2 linked regions of the Pelodiscus sinensis genome follow. Each later gene encodes a partner of the first gene's protein in a complex. Links are inferred from orthologs where the notes say so. Each region holds a gene or a part of one and is shown on either strand. Other genes may lie near its edges.

Region 1 (8,610 bases):
AAATGGCTGAGTATGGTTAGTAAAGAGTGGGTTGTGATCTGGGGCTGGAGAAGGCTGTCACCTCAGCTTGGGGGATTGAGTTGCAGGGTCCAGGACAGGGTATAGGTACAGAAGAGGATTTTTCACCTGGAAGAGCAATCTACGAAGGGTGCAGGTTCTGGGAAGGGGCTGTGACCTGGAGGAGGGTGTAGAAGGTTTGGGTTGTGACCTAGGGCAGGGAGCTGGCAGGGATGGAGTGGGGTGCCAGGTGCAAGCTCTGGCTGGGAGACATGTATCATAGTAGGTGGCTCCTGGCCAGCAGCCCAGTAGAACCCTCAGGCAAACTCTCTGCCTGCTGTGGACCCACATGTTGCTCAAAGCAACCAGCTACTGGGGCCAGAGTGTGCATCTCTGCACACCACACACTCCTTGGGAGGGCCTCTGGGCACAGCCTATACTGCACGCATGACCCAGACAGCTCCCATTGGCTGGTTTCTGGCCAATGGGAGCTGCGAGGATGGTGCTGGGGGCAGGGGCAGGGCATGGAGATCCCATGGTGGCCCCAGCAGCTGGCCATTTTGAGTGGCATGAGGGAGTCCCATAGAGACACGGGATGCTGGCGGCCCAGAGCATCATGGTAGGCCAGATCCAGCCCATATTTTACCCACATTTGCTCTAGAGTGCCTCCTGGGCAGCAGAGACATATCAGCTTTAGGAAGGCCACACACTAAGTACAGAGGGAAGCATTAAAGTGAATACCCTATGATGACAGGTAGCAAATGAAAAAATCTGGGATGGTGGTCAGGAGATTATAGGTGCCTCTAAAAGAAATAATCCCCAACACTGCAACTGTCCTATGAAAATCAGTGCATCTGGTCAGCTGAACACCCTACTCTTCTGAGGTGAACAATAGGGAGGCTACCATTCCGTTTTAAACACCACAGTCTTCCTTTAACCAAGTTGCTAGCCTGCCTGGCTCCTGCAGCCTGGCATCTATGTGGATTATGTTGTGCTGCTGCCTCAACACTCCCCAGGCAAATATTTCCAGCCTTGGTTGCCAGGTCTGGTTCCCTGCATAGCAATCCCAGGCACTGTGTTTTCTGGCAATAGTAACCAACAGTAAGAAGGCCTGACCCCTGCTGTGGCTAAGGCACAGCTACCACCGAGCATGCACAGGGGAACTGGATTCCTGATGCTGCCTGACTGGCCTGATTTATGAAGGACAGGGAAAGGCTCCACTGTGGAATACAGGCACTGGAGTGGTGAGGGAGACACAGAGTAGTTACATAGTAACTACAGGTTGTACAGGCCTCACCTGTTGCACTGGGCACAGGCAAGAGTGTACATGGGAGAGGGAGTGCACAGGGCTTCATGCAGTGTATCCATGAGAGGGAGGGAGCAGTGCGGGCCTGTGGAGGAAACCAGGTGGCAAGAAGGGAATTGCACTATGCTCGTGCTGGGTCAGGGAATGGGAGGTTGCATGTACTGGGGCAAGGGGGTGGGACTGCATGGCTTGTGCCCTGGGAAAGGAAGCATGGGGGCTGCATAGGGCCTGCACAAGAGGCTGCCAGTGGGTACCCTGAGGGATGACAGCAAGGAGGCTGCACAATGCCTGCACTGATGGGAAGGTGGGCTGCTCCGTACATGACCTGGGGGTTTGAGCTAAGGGAGCTGCATGCTGCATATATGGAGAGGGCAGGGCTGCCCAGTGGGTGCTTTGGGGGATGGGAGCAAGGGGGCTGCCCAGTGGCTGCCCTGGCCTAGGGGAAGGAAGTGAGGAGGTTGCACGGTGCATGCAGGGGAGGGGAGCTGCCCGGTGTGGGCACTAGGGGTGCAAAGGGGCTGACCTGCCCTAGGGATGGGGCTGGGGAGGGGAATGAGGAGGCTGCATGGTGCATGTAGGGTGGGGGAACGCATCCCCAGGGGGTGTCTTGGGGGAAGGGAGTGAGGGGACTTCTCTGTGGCTGCCCTGGCCCTAGGGGCATATGCACAAGGGAGGGGGCAGCTGCCCCATGGATGCCTTGCGTATGGGACTGCATGCACGGGAGGGGTGCACGGGGGGGGTGCTTGAGGGAAGGGAGCGAGGTGGCGACCCGGGACGGGGGTGGGACTGGGGAAAAGAGCGACTGGGTTGCATGGTGCATGCACGGGAGGAGGGGGCCCGGAGGGTGCCTCAGGGACGGGAGCGAGGGGGCTGCCTGGCTGGGGGGGGGGGGACTGGGGCTGGGAGCGAGGGGGCTGCCTGGCCTGGGGTGGGGGAATGGGGATGGGAGCGAGGGGGCTCCCTGGCCGGGAGGTGGTGGAAGGGGGACTGAGGACGGGAGCGAGAGGGCTGCCCAGCAGGAGGGGGGGGGACGGGAGCGAGGGGGCTGCCCGGCCGGAGGGGGGGACGGGAGCGAGGGGGTGCCCGGCCGGAGGGGGGGGCCGGGAGCGAGGGGGTGCCCGGCCGGAGGGGGGGGGACGGGAGCGAGGGGGCTGCCCGGCCGGAGGGGGGGGGGACGGGAGCGAGGGGGTGCCCGGCCGGAGGGGGGGGGACGGGAGCGAGGGGGCTGCCCGGCCGGAGGGGGGGCCGGGAGCGAGGGGGTGCCCGGCCGGAGGGGGGGACGGGGGCGGGAGCGAGGGGGTGCCCGGCCGGAGGGGGGGGGCCGGGAGCGAGGGGGTGCCCGGCCGGAGGGGGGGGGCCGAGAGCGAGGGGGTGCCCGGCCGGAGGGGGGGGGCCGGGAGCGAGGGGGTGCCCGGCCGGAGGGGGGGGCCGGGAGCGAGGGGGTGCCCGGCCGGAGGGGGGGGGCCGGGAGCGAGGGGGTGCCCGGCCGGAGGGGGGCCGGGAGCGGGGGGGTGCCCGGCCTGGGGGGGGCCGGGAGCGAGGGGGTGCCCGGCCGGAGGGGGGGGGCCGGGAGCGAGGGGGTGCCCGGCCGGAGGGGGGGGCCGGGAGCGAGGGGGTGCCCGGCCGGAGGGGGGGGGAGCGAGGGGGTGCCCGGCCGGAGGGGGGGGCCGGGAGCGAGGGGGTGCCCGGCCGGAGGGGGGCGGGAGCGAGGGGGTGCCCGGCCGGAGGGGGTGCCCGGCAGCGGGGCGAGGGGCAGTGCGCGCAGCAGAGGCGAGGGCTGCTCCCAGCTCGGCGCCGCTTCTCCCGCGCCGGGCGATGCCGATTCCCCGCCGCGCCCCGCCCGCTACTCAGCTCTTGACTTTGCCGAAGGTGCCGACCCCGAGGGTGTCCCCCAGCACGTAGTGCCCGATCTTCACCCGCCCGTCGTGCTTCTGCTTCTCAGCCATCTTCGCCGCGCGCGGACCACAATGCAGCAGGGCCGGGGGGGGGGGGGGGGCGCGGGCACAGGGGCGGCCCGGGCAGGGCGATGCCCGCCGGGCGGGGGGCTGGCACGGTGCACGCACGGGAGGGTGGGGAGAGGGGATGGCATCGTGCCAGGCTTGGGGCTGTCGGAGTGGCACGGCGCCGGGCCGGGAGGGGCAAGGGGGCTGCATAGGGGATGGAGTTTAGGGTGCCAGGCTGAGGTGCAGGTGCCAGGCTGAGGGTTGGGAGCCATCCTGGGGGAGGTAGGAATGGCAGTGTCAGGCAGGGGGCATGGTGCCTGCATGGGAGGTTGCCAGGCTTAGGGGGTGGGTGCCAGATTTGAGGTGGGTATAGGAATGATGCGGTGTCGGGCTGGGAGGGAAGCATGGTGCATGTGGGGCAGGTGCCATGCTGAGGTGTGGGTGCCAGACTCCGGGGCAGGTAGGAATGGCACTGGGTGAGGCCGGGCGGGAGGCAGCATGCATGGTACATGCACAGGGGGAGGTGGGGTGCATATCACGCTCTGGTGGGGAGGAAGAATCGCAGAGTTGGAGTAGGAGATAGGCATGGTTCACATGTTGGTATTGGGGATGTTTGGGGAGCATGGTGTCCCTAGTATCTGTTTGCCAGAAGCTGGGAAAGGGTGATAGGGATGAATCACTTGTTAGTTGCCTGTTCTGTTCATTCCCTCTGGGGCACCCGGAACTGGCCACTGTCAGAAGACAGGATACAGGGCTAGATGGGCCTTTGGGCTGACCCAGTCTGGATGTTCTTATGTGTCAGGTCTGGCAATGTAAAAGGAGGGTGGGAGAGGTACATGCTAGTCTGGGAAAGTGGGTAGCACAGTCCATGACAGCCTGGGGGAGAGGATGGGGACCAAGGAACAGTGGAAGATGTGGAATGGGGACATTGTAAGATCAAGCTGGAGGAGGGATTCCAACTGGGGAGGAAGGGGTAGCAAAGTGAGATGGAGGTTGGGAACATTGTGCCAAGATGATGGGGAAGAGATTTGGCAGTGCTAAGCTGGACAGAAGGCAGGAGAGGCTGGGGAGGTGGATGCAGGGGTTATTGTCAGGCCAGAAGGAGGGCATGGGGCTAGGTCAGTGTCTGGTGGGAGAAACATGGGTGCCAGACTGAGGGAAAAATTGATGCAGCTTGGAGGAGGAAGACTGCATGATACTAGGCTAGGGTCAGGGGGTGGGGAGAGTGGTGCTAAATTATGAAGATGGGATACAGTGCTGCGACTGCCAGCCCAAAGATAAGGCACTGAGCTTGGGGTAGGGGTACCAGATCACACAGGTTTGATGCCATACCATAGAGGGAAGAGGAGACAAGACTGTCGGGGGGGAGGGGAGTGGGAGGGGAGTGGGAGGGGAGGGAGCAGTACTCTATTTTGCATGAACCACTTGCTCTGTAACCAATTGCCTAGCCTTAAACTAGTATTTAGGTGCCAGTGTTTGATGAACAGTAGTACTGAGCTATATTTTAATGGCCTGGATGCAGGAGCATTTCTGTGGTATTTAAGTAGGACAACAGAATAACAATAACACAGGAATAGATATATTAATAATCAGAAATCTGTGCAGCAGTTAAAGCCACCTTCCTTGCCCATTGATCCTATTCCCAAACATGCTTCTCAGTTGAGTGGCAAGGGCATATTTCAGGCCATGTGGAAGAAAGCATGGATGTGATTGCATAAGAAACTAAGGCGTTCGTGAAAACCCTCTTCTCCTTGCCCTACATACAAAATCCATATTTGTTCTGTCCCTGTCCCCTGATCTGCATCTACACAGCAGGGCTTAACTCGAAATAAGCTTTGCAAATTGCACTACGTCAATTGCGTAGCTTATTTTGAAATAGCTTATTTCGAAATTGGGCGCGTCTATACAGCACTGATTTCAAAATAGAGCACTCTTCCTCCAACTTCCCTTACTCCTCGTACAATGTGGGTTACAGGAGTCGGAGTAAGAAGTCCTCCAGCTTGACAGTATTTCAACATAATTTTGAAATAACTGCCTGCTGTATAGACATGGATGAAGTTATTTCAAAATCCCAAAGCTGTAGACTCCTTGGGGCAGAGATTGACCCATCTTGACTAGCTGGAAAGCCTAGCATTGAGAGAGTGCGGTTATAAACAAACCAGTAATCATAAACATTAGTGACGCTTTTCCATTTCAGCACTGAAGCAATCACACATGAGCATGTCATGTAATAACAGATAACACAGCTGTTCCAAGCAGGCTATTTTTACTCATTCTTGTTAGAATTGCTCTCAGAAACTAGACAGATAATTTTAAACTTGCTATTTATAACCCAGACTAACCACCTGAAGGCTATGCTTATTAATTGATAATTAGGCCTTGTCTCTAATGAAGATTTTCCCCTTCTTGCTAGTTAAAACAAAACAGAACCTCATGTTACACAGTAAAAGAATTGGCAAGGAGGCTGTGTAGGAGCTTTAGATTAACAAGACTAATGTCTTTCTTTGCAGCTCACTCCCTTGGCACCCCGGTAGCAGCATCACTCTCAGACTGGTGCAGAACCTGGATAAAAGGTGCTTGTGTAACAACACAGCTATGCTTGTGTAACAACACAGCCGTACAAGCCACCTGTGGGCTTTGAAGCTGTGACCTCTGGAACTAAAAGCAAAAACACCCTTTACTGTCCAAATAAAAGAAATAGGTTTTTAATCCCTGAGATGGTAACAGACTCTCCAATGTCTAGGCCAGTCTGCATGGAGGCTACATCTACACAGTTGACTTCTTCCGCAAAAGCCTATGCAAAGGAAGCGCGGGTTAGCAAATTTCCGCTCTTCATTTGCATAATTAATTAGGAGCCATTTTTGCACAAGAGTGTTTTGCGCAAAAAGGCGCCATCTACACAATGCCTTTTTGCACAAAAAAACCCTCTTGCCCAAGAGCCGTTCTTCCTCATTTTTTCAGGAAGAACGGCTCTTGCACAAGTGGGGGGTTTTGCGCAAAAAGGCACTGTGTAGACAGTGCTTTTTTGCACAAAAACCTCTTGCACAAAAATGGCTCCTAATTAATTATGCAAATGAAGCGTGGCAATATACTAATTCGTGCTTCATTTGCATAGGCTTTTGTGGAAGAGGGAAGCTGTTTAGACATAGCCTGGGAGGGAAATTCATTTTAAGATACGCAACTGCAGCTATTAGACTTGGCTAGCTGGAGTGGACATTCCTTAAATTGAATTTTTCTGGAGACACCACTCTGGGAGGTCAATGGGAGAAACTTTCCAATCTATTTTTCTTATTCCTTATGACCCCATGGAGTATTGGGGCTGATGGGGACATCCTCAACATTTTATTTTGTGGGTCCTTACTAGACCTGCTAAATCGTACCCTGGAAGATCGAATTACTGGAGCATAAGTATAATAAGACTAGTATGTGGTGTTGCCTCTAGAGGGGGGAAAAAAGCTGCATTAAATTTTGTCCCCTGCCAAATTCACAGCCATAAAAAACACATCATGGACTGTGAAATAGGGTCTCCCTCAGTGAAACCTGGTCTTTTGGGTGCTTTCACCTTATACTATACGGATTTCATGGAGGAGACCAGCATTTGTCAAAGTGGGAGCCCTGCATCAAAAGGGAGTTGTGGGGGGAATCACAAAACTATTGGGGTCAGTCATGGTGCTGCCACCCTTACTTCTGCACTGCCTTCAGTAGGAATGTGGACGTGTAACTAGTTACCCAGGAGCAGCAGGCAGAGGGCTGCTCCAACCCCACTGGGTCCCTGTGTGGGGCTGGGAGCTGGCAGTTCGCCCCACGTGACTGGGGCTGGAAGAGGGAGCCCTACAGGCTGGGCGCTGACCCAGCCCGGCTGAAGTGGTTCCTCCTCCCCACCCCGGGATCCTGCTTAGTTGGTTAACTGGATAAACGTTAGGTTAACCTAACATTTAAATGGTTAACTGATTAATTGGAATTTTATATCCCTAGTCTGCAGATCTGGCCAGTTATAGAGTAAGGATGTTAAGTATCATGTAATTGACTAATCGAATAGTCTATGAATTTTTGCATTGACTATTCATTTAGTTGATAGGGCAGCACTGCCCCTTTGAAATGCCGCTGTGGCATTTCACCCTGGGCTCCAAGTGGCACTGCCTCTTTGAAATGCCACGAGGAGCCAGATCCGGGCTCCCTGCGGCATTCAAAATGATAGAACCGCACGGAGCCTGCGTCAACTGGGGAGTCCCCAGCTGATCCCAGGCTCCACGCAGCGCTGCCCCTTTGAAACACCACAGCAGCGACATTTCAAAGCAGCAGTGCTGCACGAAGCAGTTGACCCTGGGTTCTGTGTGGTGCTGCCACTTTGAAGTACACCTCTTTTCTCCCCTACCCTTTCTTTCTCTGTCTGATACAGGCAGCCGGGGGGAAGTGACTTGTTGACTGTCCTGTCGATAAGCATTTGCTTATCGGATAGTCAAGTAGTCAACTAATCCTTAACTTTCCTAGCATAAAGCAGTGGTATAGGCAAACTGGGACACTGGGGTGAGCTGGAAATGAGAGGGGGCTAGGATAGAAGCCAGTGGGGGCCCCACTTCCCCTCCTCCAGCCCTCTGGGGGCCATAGACAGTCTTGCCAGGGGGCTTGAGAAAATGGGGGGGAGACTGAAGAAGTATGCACCCTCACCTGCGCTGCCCTCCAGCCCACCAGTCCTGCTGGGCAGTGGGGTTCGAGGCTTGCCCCCACTCTGGCCACTGAGCTTCAGCACTCCAGCTAGGGGAGAAGGTCGGGCTGCGGGGTTTGTCCTGCGCCCCCTACCTGGCATTGCTGCCAGTGAGTGGGGTTGATGGCTTGCTCCGCTCTGGCACTCCAGCTAGGGAGTGCCTAAGTCCTGCTCCTTGGCAAGAGTGCTGGGCAGGTGGAGCAGGGCAAGTCCCTGACCTGGCTCTGTGTCTGTACTGGCGGATGGGCAGAGCAGGACAAGTTCCGCTCTGCAGCCCTCTCTCTCCAGCTGGGCAAGGCCCTTCAACCCAAGACTGCTCCTCAGCAACATCTCTGGACAGGCTGAGTGGCCAGGACCTGAGGCAGGAGAAAAGCTTGGACCAGAGGGTGGGGCTGGATGATAAGTGAATGGGCCCTGGACCACCCATGGCTACACCCCTGCTGCCAAGTGGCAGCTCATGGCTGGGTGCCCAGCTCTGAAGGCAGTGCCCTGCCAGCAGCAGCACAGAAGTACAGGTGGCAATGCCAGACTAGGCAATCCTTTTTACTATGAGGGATCAGCCCGTAAGTAGATGAAATATTGGTAACAACAAGGGGGAATAACGTGACTGAACAATGTTATGGCTTTGAGGTTTGGTTGTGTACTTTTTCCCCCTTAAA
Region 2 (8,452 bases), on another chromosome or scaffold:
GTGAGCCGGGCGGGGGGAGCCATGACTGCGGCGGGGAAAGTCTGAGGGGCCATGGGGGGCCCTGGGGTTTTGCTCCTAGTCAGGGCACATCCCCTGCTGCATGGCCCTACACCCCGGGCCTAGCTCAGGCTCCCAGCCTGCCTGGGTACTCGCAGGGCAGAGAGGAGGGCCCATGGGAGACAGGAGAGCTACAGACCAGCCCCCAGGACATGAGCGCCCCGGGCTGTGAGCCTGCCGAGGGGGGAGCCGGGGCCAAGAACTGCGCCGGCCGGCACAGGGGGCGGTAAATCATTCTGCCATCAAGGGCAGGGCAAGAAGCAATGGGCTTGAAAAATCGCCCTGCCAGGGCCGGTCTGGATACCACAGGGCTGGGGCCTTCCCGCCCGACACAACCCACCCCCCGGGGAACCAGCCCTCACCTTCCGGTGCCAGGGGGCACTTCTGGGCAGCGCTCTCAGGAACCGGGCCCTGCAGACACAGAAATCAGGGGCTCCCCGGTAAGCCACAGGCCTGCGCCCCAGCTCGAGACCCTCCCGCAGAGCAGAGCCGTGAGACGAGCTGCACTCCCGCCCTGTACCACGGACCCAGGGCTTTGGGAAGGGAGCATGGCAGCCCGGGGACCTCCCCCTGCCCAGCCCTGCTATGTGGGCATCCCCCAATTGCTGCTCAGCCCTGCTGCTGGGGGCAAACCGGCTTCCCCCCAGCCCTCTCCGGCCCTGCTGCTGTGGGCAAACCGGCCTCTCCCCCCGCCCCGGCCCTGCTGCTGCGGGCAAACCGGCCTCCCCCCAGCCCCCTCCGGCCCTGCTGCTGTGGGCAAACCAGCCTCTCCCCCCTGGCCCTGCTGCTGGGGGCAAACCGGCCTCCCCCCCTCCCGCTGCTGCAGGCAAACCGCCCCCCCCCCCCCCCCCCGCGGCCCTGCTGCTGCAGCACCTCCAAATGATTTGTTAAGGAGATTTTGGAAAGCCCCCCCCCCCCCCCCCCCCCCCCGGAAGCAGTGGCACTGGGACCCTCTGCACCATGCCCGAGCCTACCCTCCCCGCTCAGGGCAAGGAGCGCAGGATGCAGGGCAGCCGGTTCCCTTCCCCTGCCTGCTCCCAAGGGGAAGCCCCGCTCCTCCCACCAGCGGTTGCTGGGCCCAGCTGACTGGGAGAGCGACTTGCCCACACAGGGAGGCAGCCTTAGGAGAGGAAGGAATCCAGGGGCCCCGGCTCCCAGCCCTTGCTCTAAACTGCTCTTTCCCCAGTGCACTGTTAGCTCTTGGAGCCGGCTGGGACAGTAACTGCCCCCCGCATCGGGCTGGCAGGGCCCACTCAGCCAGGGAGCTCGCGGAGGGGAAGAGAAAGCCAAGCCGCACTTTTCCTTTTCCGAGGCAGAACTTGGCTCCATCCCAGGGCTGGCCAGGCTCTGGAGGAAGCTGCGGGCCTTACTTCCTCTCCAATTACGCTTCACAAACCGCACCCAGGAATCGCTTCGCATGCCTCCGACAGGCAGCCTAGCGCTCTGACGCACCTAGCGGCCACGTCCTGGCAGCATTGCCCCATCAGGTGAACCGCTGCCAGGGCGGGGCCCGGGAACCGGCCAGTCCTGGATCAGGCCAGGCCAGCTGCATCTCAGCACAGATGCGCTGGAGACCAGAGACCACCGCGGCTCTAGGCCCAGTCCTGTTAGCTCATCCCACCATGGCCATTTTCACACAGGCAGGACTTAGACCAGACTTGGCCGCTCAGCCACAATCTTGCTAACCCCCCTAGAGGTGGTCGCCTCGCTGGGACTCGGGCTGACTGCAGACTCCCGGACACCCCTAAGCAGAGGGCTCTGCCCCTTTAAGATGGGCATTGCTCCAGCCTGCCCAAAACAAACAGCTGGAGCTGCCCCTCCCAGCACCCAGCTTCAGCCACACACCTGGCCTCTGCTGCAGAGGAGCGTGGCCTTGGGGATGCCTGAAAGGGCCCAGCTTGGCCAGTCAGAAGATGCTCCCCCAGCACCTCTCAGGTCTGTGTCTGGAGCCAAGCAGCAGGGCTGGAATGAGCACTAAGGAACAGGGAGCAAGTCCCGCCCGGCGTGGTACTCTCCAACCTCCATTGGCTGCCCTGGGCTGCATGCTGGGAATTTAGCCCCCTGCCCGTGCCTGGCTAGGCCAGGAATGCTGCTTTCAGCCCAGGAGCCCAGAACCTGGCATGCATCAGCCTCTTGGCTGGGGCACGGGGGAAGCTGGGCTGAGGCACATGAGTCCACAGCGCCTGGCTCAGCCCAGCAAAATCCCAGGAGTGGGAGATGGGGGATCCAGGCGATACTTGAGTTGGGCCTTGAACACAGCGGAGGCTGGGCAGGGGCCTTTCCCGTGCACAGCGCCAGGGTGCCACTCGCTTCACTGGCACGGGACAGCCCAGAGCCCCTCCGCAGGGCTGCGCACACACGTCACAGCTGACCAGCGGGGACACAGGCGCCGGGGAGCGCACTGGGCTTTGGGCAGGAAAGTCCAGGCTCCCCGCCAGCTGGACGGGCCAGGGCGGCAGAGGGAGGAAGAGAAACACCCAGCTCCCGTCACCCAGTCGGAAAACTGCCCTGACCCCGGACTCTCAAGTTGGTGGCCGGCCAGGGAAACGCAGCAGCCCAAGGGCCACCTCGGGGGTCACTGCGCTGGCCCGGCCCAGGGCACCCTCACCCCAGCCCCAGCCCCAGCCCTGTTCGGTTCCTGGCGGCTTGGCCTTTGGGGGCCCGATCCGGGGGGGGGGGGAGGCGAACGCAGGAGGGGGCCCTATGGGGGGGAGGGAGCGAGGGCCCGATCCAGGGGGGTGTCGAAAGATGAGGGAGAGAAGGGGGGGCCGATCGGGGGATGGGGGGGCCCGATCGTGGAGGACGGAGGGCTCGATCCGGGCGGGCGAACGCAGGAGGGGGGCCCGATCCGGGGGGAGGCGGGGGACGCGGGAGGGAAGGGGGGAGGCGGCCCCGATCCGGGGGGAGGCGGGGCCCGATCCGGGGCTGGCGGAGGACGCGGGAGGGAAGGGGGGAGGCGGCCCCGATCCGGGGGGAGGCGGGGCCCGATCCGGGGGCTGGCGGAGGACGCGGGAGGCGGCCCCGATCCGGGGGGAGGCGGGGCCCGATCCGGGGCTGGCGGAGGACGCGGGAGGCGGCCCCGATCCGGGGGGAGGCGGGGCCCGATCCGGGGCTGGCGGAGGAAGGGACGCGGGTGCCCGATCCCGGGGGCGCCGGGCCCCCCCACCCCGGCCGGGTCGGGCTCTTACCGCCTCCATGGCCGCTCCAGCCGCGGCTCGTCTCGCTGCCGCCGAACGCCCGGGGGCAGCAACGGGACCGGGTCACTTCCGCCCGGATCTACTTCAGCCATTTCCGCCCGCAGAGGTCATGTGACCGGAAGTAGGCCGCGCGGGGGAGGAATTGACGCCTGAGGCCGGTGACCTTTGCCCCCCCTCCCCTTCCGGAGCCTGCACGACCTTCCGGTTCACGAGAGCCGGGGCGGCCCCGCGGAACCCCCCGGCCAGCAGGGGGCGGGGCGGGGCAGGAGCCTCGAAGTCTCCTTCGGCGCTGGGGAGGCCGCATCTGGAGCGTTGGGTCCCGTTCTGCCCCCCCCCCCCCCACAGACTGGACGTGGCGCTTTGCAGAGGGGCCAGCGGGGGGGGGGGGGGGCGACCCAAATGCTGAGGGGGCTGGAGCACGTGACCTACGAGGAGAGGCTGAGAGACTCGGGTCTGTTCAGTCTGCAGAAGAGAAGAGCGGGGGGGGGGGGGGGGATTTGAGAGCAGCCTGCAGCTCCCTGGAGGGGGGTCCAGAGAGGCTGGTCTCAGTAGTGACAGATGCAGAACAAGGAGCAATGGGCTCAAGCTGCAGTGGGGGGGGGTCCAGGTTGGATTTTAGGAAAAGCTGTTTCCCTAGGAGGGTGGGGAAGCACTGGGCTGGGTTCCCTAGGGAAGTAGTGGAGTCTCCATCCCTAGAGGTGTTTAAGTCTCGGCTTGACAAAGCCCTGGCTGGGTTGATTTAGTTGGGGTTGGTCCTGCCTAGAGCAGGGGGCTGGACTTGATGACCTCCTGAGGTCTCTTCCAGTTCTATGATTCTATGATAAGGGGATGGTTTGAGAACATAACAGGATCTTGGTAACTAATTGACCATTCATTATCAGTGGGAAATAGGTCAATGGAGGGATGATAGAGAACTTTCTGGGTGTCTGGCTGGTGAGTCTTGCCCACATGCTCAGGGTTTAGCTGATCGCCATATTTGGGGTCGGGAAGGAATTTTCCTCCGGGGTAGATTGGCAGAGACCCTGGAGGTTTTTCGCCTTCCTCTGTAGCATGGGGCACAGATCACAGCTGGAGGATTCTCTGCATCTTGGGACCTTCAAAGTATTTGAAGGCTTCAATATCGGAGATATAGGTGAGAGGATTATTCTAAGAGGGGTGGGTGAGATTCTGTGGCCTGCACTGTGCAGGGCGTCAGACTAGATGATCATAATGGTCCCTTCTGACCTTAAGGTCTATGAACCCCAGGACCCAGGCGCCATCGAGTCCAGGCCTCTGCCCAAGGCGGGACCAGCCCCACTCGGTCACCCCCGCCAGGGCTGCATCCAGCCGGGACCTCGGCCCCGCTGGGGCTGGAGAGTCCCTCCCCCCCTCCCTAGGGAACCCGCCCAGCACCGCCCTGCCCGCCTGGGGAATCATTTTTCCTCCTCTCCCACCTGCCCCCTCCCCCACTGCACCTTGAGCCCATTGCTCCTTCTTCTGCCACTCTCCATCCCCTGTGGAACCTCCCTTCAGGACCGCTCTGCTGTCAAACCCCCCCTCCCTCTTCTCTTCTGCAAACCCAGCGCACCCCCCTCCCCCCACACCCAACAAATGGTCTGGTAGCACTTTATAGACTAACAAAACATATAGATGGTATCATGAGCTTTCGTGGGCACAGCCCGCTTCTGCAGATGACCGAAGAAGCGGGCTGTGCCCACGAAAGCTCATGATATCACCTACATGTTTTGTTAGTCTATAAAGTGCTACCAGACCATTTGTTGGTTTTTTTCTGTACAGACTAACTCAGCTACCAGATCTCTCAGTCTCTCCTCTTAGGTCATGCACACCAGCCCCCTTATCATTTTGGTCGCCCTCCGCTGGACCCTCTCCAATGCATCCACATCCTTTCTGTAGTATGGGGCCCCCAGGTAGGGGCCAGTTCCTGGGTTATGTGTTGCACCAACTCCAGGCATTCCTGCAGAGTGCAGCCTTGGGCACAGGCTGGGACGGGTGCACCTGCCCCTTGTTATAGCAGCAGGGAAGGAGCAACCGGTCCTGAACATTGGAGGGAGGGAGGGGAAGAGTTATGATCCTTTGGGCACCTCCAGCGCCTATGCAGCACTGGGCCAGAGTGACGGTCTCCAAAATCTCTTCCCAGAAGACCGTATGGGAAGCAGGAGCCAGGAACTTGAGCCACATTTCAACTGAGGAAGTGGGGGAGAGAACACACACAAGCAGAAGTCCAAGATCACCCAGTATTTAAAATGCACCTTTATTTTTTTATTTAAAAACAAACTCAGAAGCAAAATTTGAAACGCACTCTTTGCCTCTTTAAACATAAATTATATACATTTCAAAATTATATCCAATACAAAACATGCCACATACAAGTTCATTTTTTTGTTGTTTTTCTTTAAAAAAAAAGGAATAATTTTATTTCCCCTCCATTCTTTTCTTGGTTACGAAGGACAACCTCGCTGTACAGGATACACACACACACACAAAATAAAACCTCAAACACAAAGGAAGATTCCTCACAGAGTCCACACTTGCCATAGTTTTATTTTAAACTTTATTTTTTTTAAAAAACCAACAAAATAATAAATGGTTATTTCAGGATCATAAAAGGTAAAACTTAAAATATAATATCTGCAACTGTAAACAAACAGAAGTATTGGACAAGGCTTTGAATGCAATTTTACAAGCAGAGAACTTTAAAAAAAATCAAATGTCAGCTCTGGGACTGGATTATAGTTTATATAAAAATTAAAAACTGTATAGGTTTTCCTCCCTCCCCAGCTAAAATCTACAGAACTATTTTATACTCTAACCATAGTCTAAAAAGTCAGACAACCTGCTATATTCTGTTCTTTACTCTCTCCCAGCTTTAATCCTTTTTTGTAGTACTTTTTAAAATTTTTTATTTTATACACTTTACAGCCTTCCAAGTTAATGGAAAAAAAACAAAAAGTTATACTGGCTTTTTCTCTCTCACGCATATTTTATTTTAAAATAACATCCAGTGGTTTTATTATTGGTAAAAACGTTTTTTTTTCTCTACACAGCTCCCATTTTATTTACAGTTTTAAATTTAAATTTTTTGTATATTTTTTATTTTATTATTCCCTGCCCTCACCCCAAGTTTTAACATTTCATTTTAAACCTTTTGCAGCTTTGAATAGTTGCGGAAGCAGCTTTTTAAAAATGTGACAGCTCTTCTCTCTCACTCAAAATCTTTTGATTTAAAAACATAAAATGCCCTGGGCTCCCTGCCCCCAGATTTCATTCCCCCCCCCAAAATAATCTCACTTCATTTCATTCCCCCTCACACTCCAAGAGAGCAAGGAAGTTTAATACAAAACAGAACCCTCCTCAGCTGAGTCAAGCAGCCGTGGCATGGGAGAGCAGAGAAGAGCAAGCTCAGAAGTTTGTTTCTGATTCTTTCCTGGGGGACTAGGGGTGTCATGCCTTTGTGCGTTAAGAGATGTCAAACCCTACAGTTTAATGGAAAAGGGCAGTGAGAGCAGGACCTCCTGCCCCATCTGGTTTACAGCAGTCTTTGAGGGGCCCTCCTGGACGAGCAATAGGATGCTGTGGTGGGGAAGGCCAGAGCAGGAGAAGCGCTGCCCAGTTTGTAATGCCCACCAATCCTCTCTTCTCCCCAGCGAGTCCGCCCCTGGCAGGAGGCCCCTGGACCTGTCACATACGGGTTTTCTAGCTAACAAGACAAGAACAGCGAGCAGGGAAGAGATTTGCTTCCCCCAGTTTAGTTATGGGACATGCTCCCCTCCCCCACAGTCCAAGATCTCAGCCAAGCAGAGCACAGAAGAGAGCCCCCATAGATTCTAATATATACAAGCTAAGGTATAAATAGATAAATACCCCCCATACCATGCCGACATGACAGACACAGGCAGCCTCCAGAGGCCAGCCTAGAGCAGCAGTTCTGGTAGCAAAAGGGGGCCTGGTGGGTGGGGGAGCGGAGTGGCTGGGGCAGGACCCAGAACAGCCCCCCTACCCCACAGCCAAACTCAGGAGTGCGGCGGTGGCAGCCAGCTCTCTGCCTCAACTGAGGATTCCTGGAGCTCGGCCCCCAAACCCAGAGGCTTGACAGGGTGCTCAGTGCTGGGGGGGCTCTCGGCGGCTGCTTGTGCCATGCTGGGGAGGTGGGTGGAAGCAAGGGGAGGGTCTTGGCACATTCTAAGTAAAGCCTCAAACCGCCACCTCTCCGGAGTGCCCAGCTTTGTGCATGGTGGGAGAGCAGCCAGGAACACCCGAGCATCCAACTGGGGGGGCTCTTGGGGGGTGGGGGGGAGGGATCCTGAAACACTCAACTTCCCAGCTGGAGGGGGATGGAGATACTTTAGGGTCTCTCTCCTTCCAGGTCTGCGTGCAAGGCTACAATCTCCCTCAGGCTGCCCTAGGCTCCACCCACTGCCACACCTTGGATTCCCCAGGCTCCGCCCACTGCCACTAGTTCTCATTCAGAACTAGGAAGGTTGCATGTGGTCAGTCTCGGAGGGAGGGTCACATTGAAAACAGCAGAATCTAACACTTAAAATGAGGTAGGTTTGGGTGCAGATGCTCCTTGCGTCCATGGGGGAGGGGGGACTTTTCTGCACACGGCTCTCCCCAGCTCTGCTCTGGCAGCTGGCGCCTCCTTCACATGCTCACGGTGCTTCCATTGACAGAACAAGAAATAAACCGAAACCCAAGCGAGCTCTGTCTGTCTCCAGAGAGCCCAGCAGAGCGGGGCTGGGAGTTTTGGGATTGTCAAGCTCAAGGAGTCTCTTTGTTACCTTGGTAAGTTAGCGAGCAAATATTATTAGTTTTGTTTTTTTTTTAAAAAAAAAAACAGACTGGATCTGACCTCCCCGTGGGTCCGAGAATGCGGCCGCCCCACCCCAGATCCGAGGGGGAGCACCCCACTCGCCCCGCATCCATCCAGTTATTTACAGGTGCTTCAGTGAGCAAGGCGGACAGAGCTGGTTTTGTTGATGCCACAGGCCCCGTCCTCCTCGCAAAACAAAACAAAGAAAACCCTGAGTTGCCAGTTCATCAGTTCCACTTGTGGCGCTGCAGCCGCCCACCTGGGGAGAGCAGCACGCTGCCAGCAGAGAGCCAGGGCCACGGCGCGCCAGGCTGGAGTGGCTAGGGAGAGAACCAAGGTCCCTGTGCTTTCGATATGCCCTCCCTGTGGAAGTTAGGAGGGCGGCATC

What was found.
Region 2: the proteins of PRKAA2 (region 1) and PRKAG1 are in contact, whole or in part, in a crystal structure (PDB 6B1U), measured with the Homo sapiens proteins. The link is inferred for Pelodiscus sinensis from reciprocal best matches to the Homo sapiens genes PRKAA2 and PRKAG1. Residues at the interface, in NP_006243.2 of Homo sapiens: Asp329, Asn330, Ile333, Met334, Ala337, Phe340, Tyr341, Leu342, His366, Pro367, Glu368, Arg369, Met370, Pro371, Pro372, Leu373, Ile374, Asn444, Val446, Thr447, Pro530, Arg531, Leu532, Gly533, Ser534, His535, Thr536, Met537, Asp538, Glu541; in NP_002724.1 of Homo sapiens: His36, Asp40, Leu41, Ile42, Pro43, Thr44, Ser45, Val50, Phe62, Leu64, Val65, Thr66, Gly68, Val69, Arg70, Trp75, Ser77, Lys78, Lys79, Gln80, Phe82, Pro158, Glu159, Ser160, Gly161, Asn162, Lys170, Arg171, Lys174, Phe175.

Annotation. Positions count from the first base shown.
Region 1 is NC_134719.1:12,982,272-12,990,881, reverse strand, and holds the start of PRKAA2 (5'-AMP-activated protein kinase catalytic subunit alpha-2), read right to left. Parts: upstream 3,314-8,610; 5' UTR 3,250-3,313; coding exon 3,156-3,249; intron 1-3,155. UniProt on the Homo sapiens protein: Catalytic subunit of AMP-activated protein kinase (AMPK), an energy sensor protein kinase that plays a key role in regulating cellular energy metabolism.
Region 2 is NC_134729.1:4,977,700-4,986,151, reverse strand, and holds the start of PRKAG1 (5'-AMP-activated protein kinase subunit gamma-1), read right to left. Parts: upstream 3,390-8,452; 5' UTR 3,255-3,389; coding exon 3,246-3,254; intron 469-3,245; coding exon 420-468; intron 1-419. UniProt on the Homo sapiens protein: AMP/ATP-binding subunit of AMP-activated protein kinase (AMPK), an energy sensor protein kinase that plays a key role in regulating cellular energy metabolism.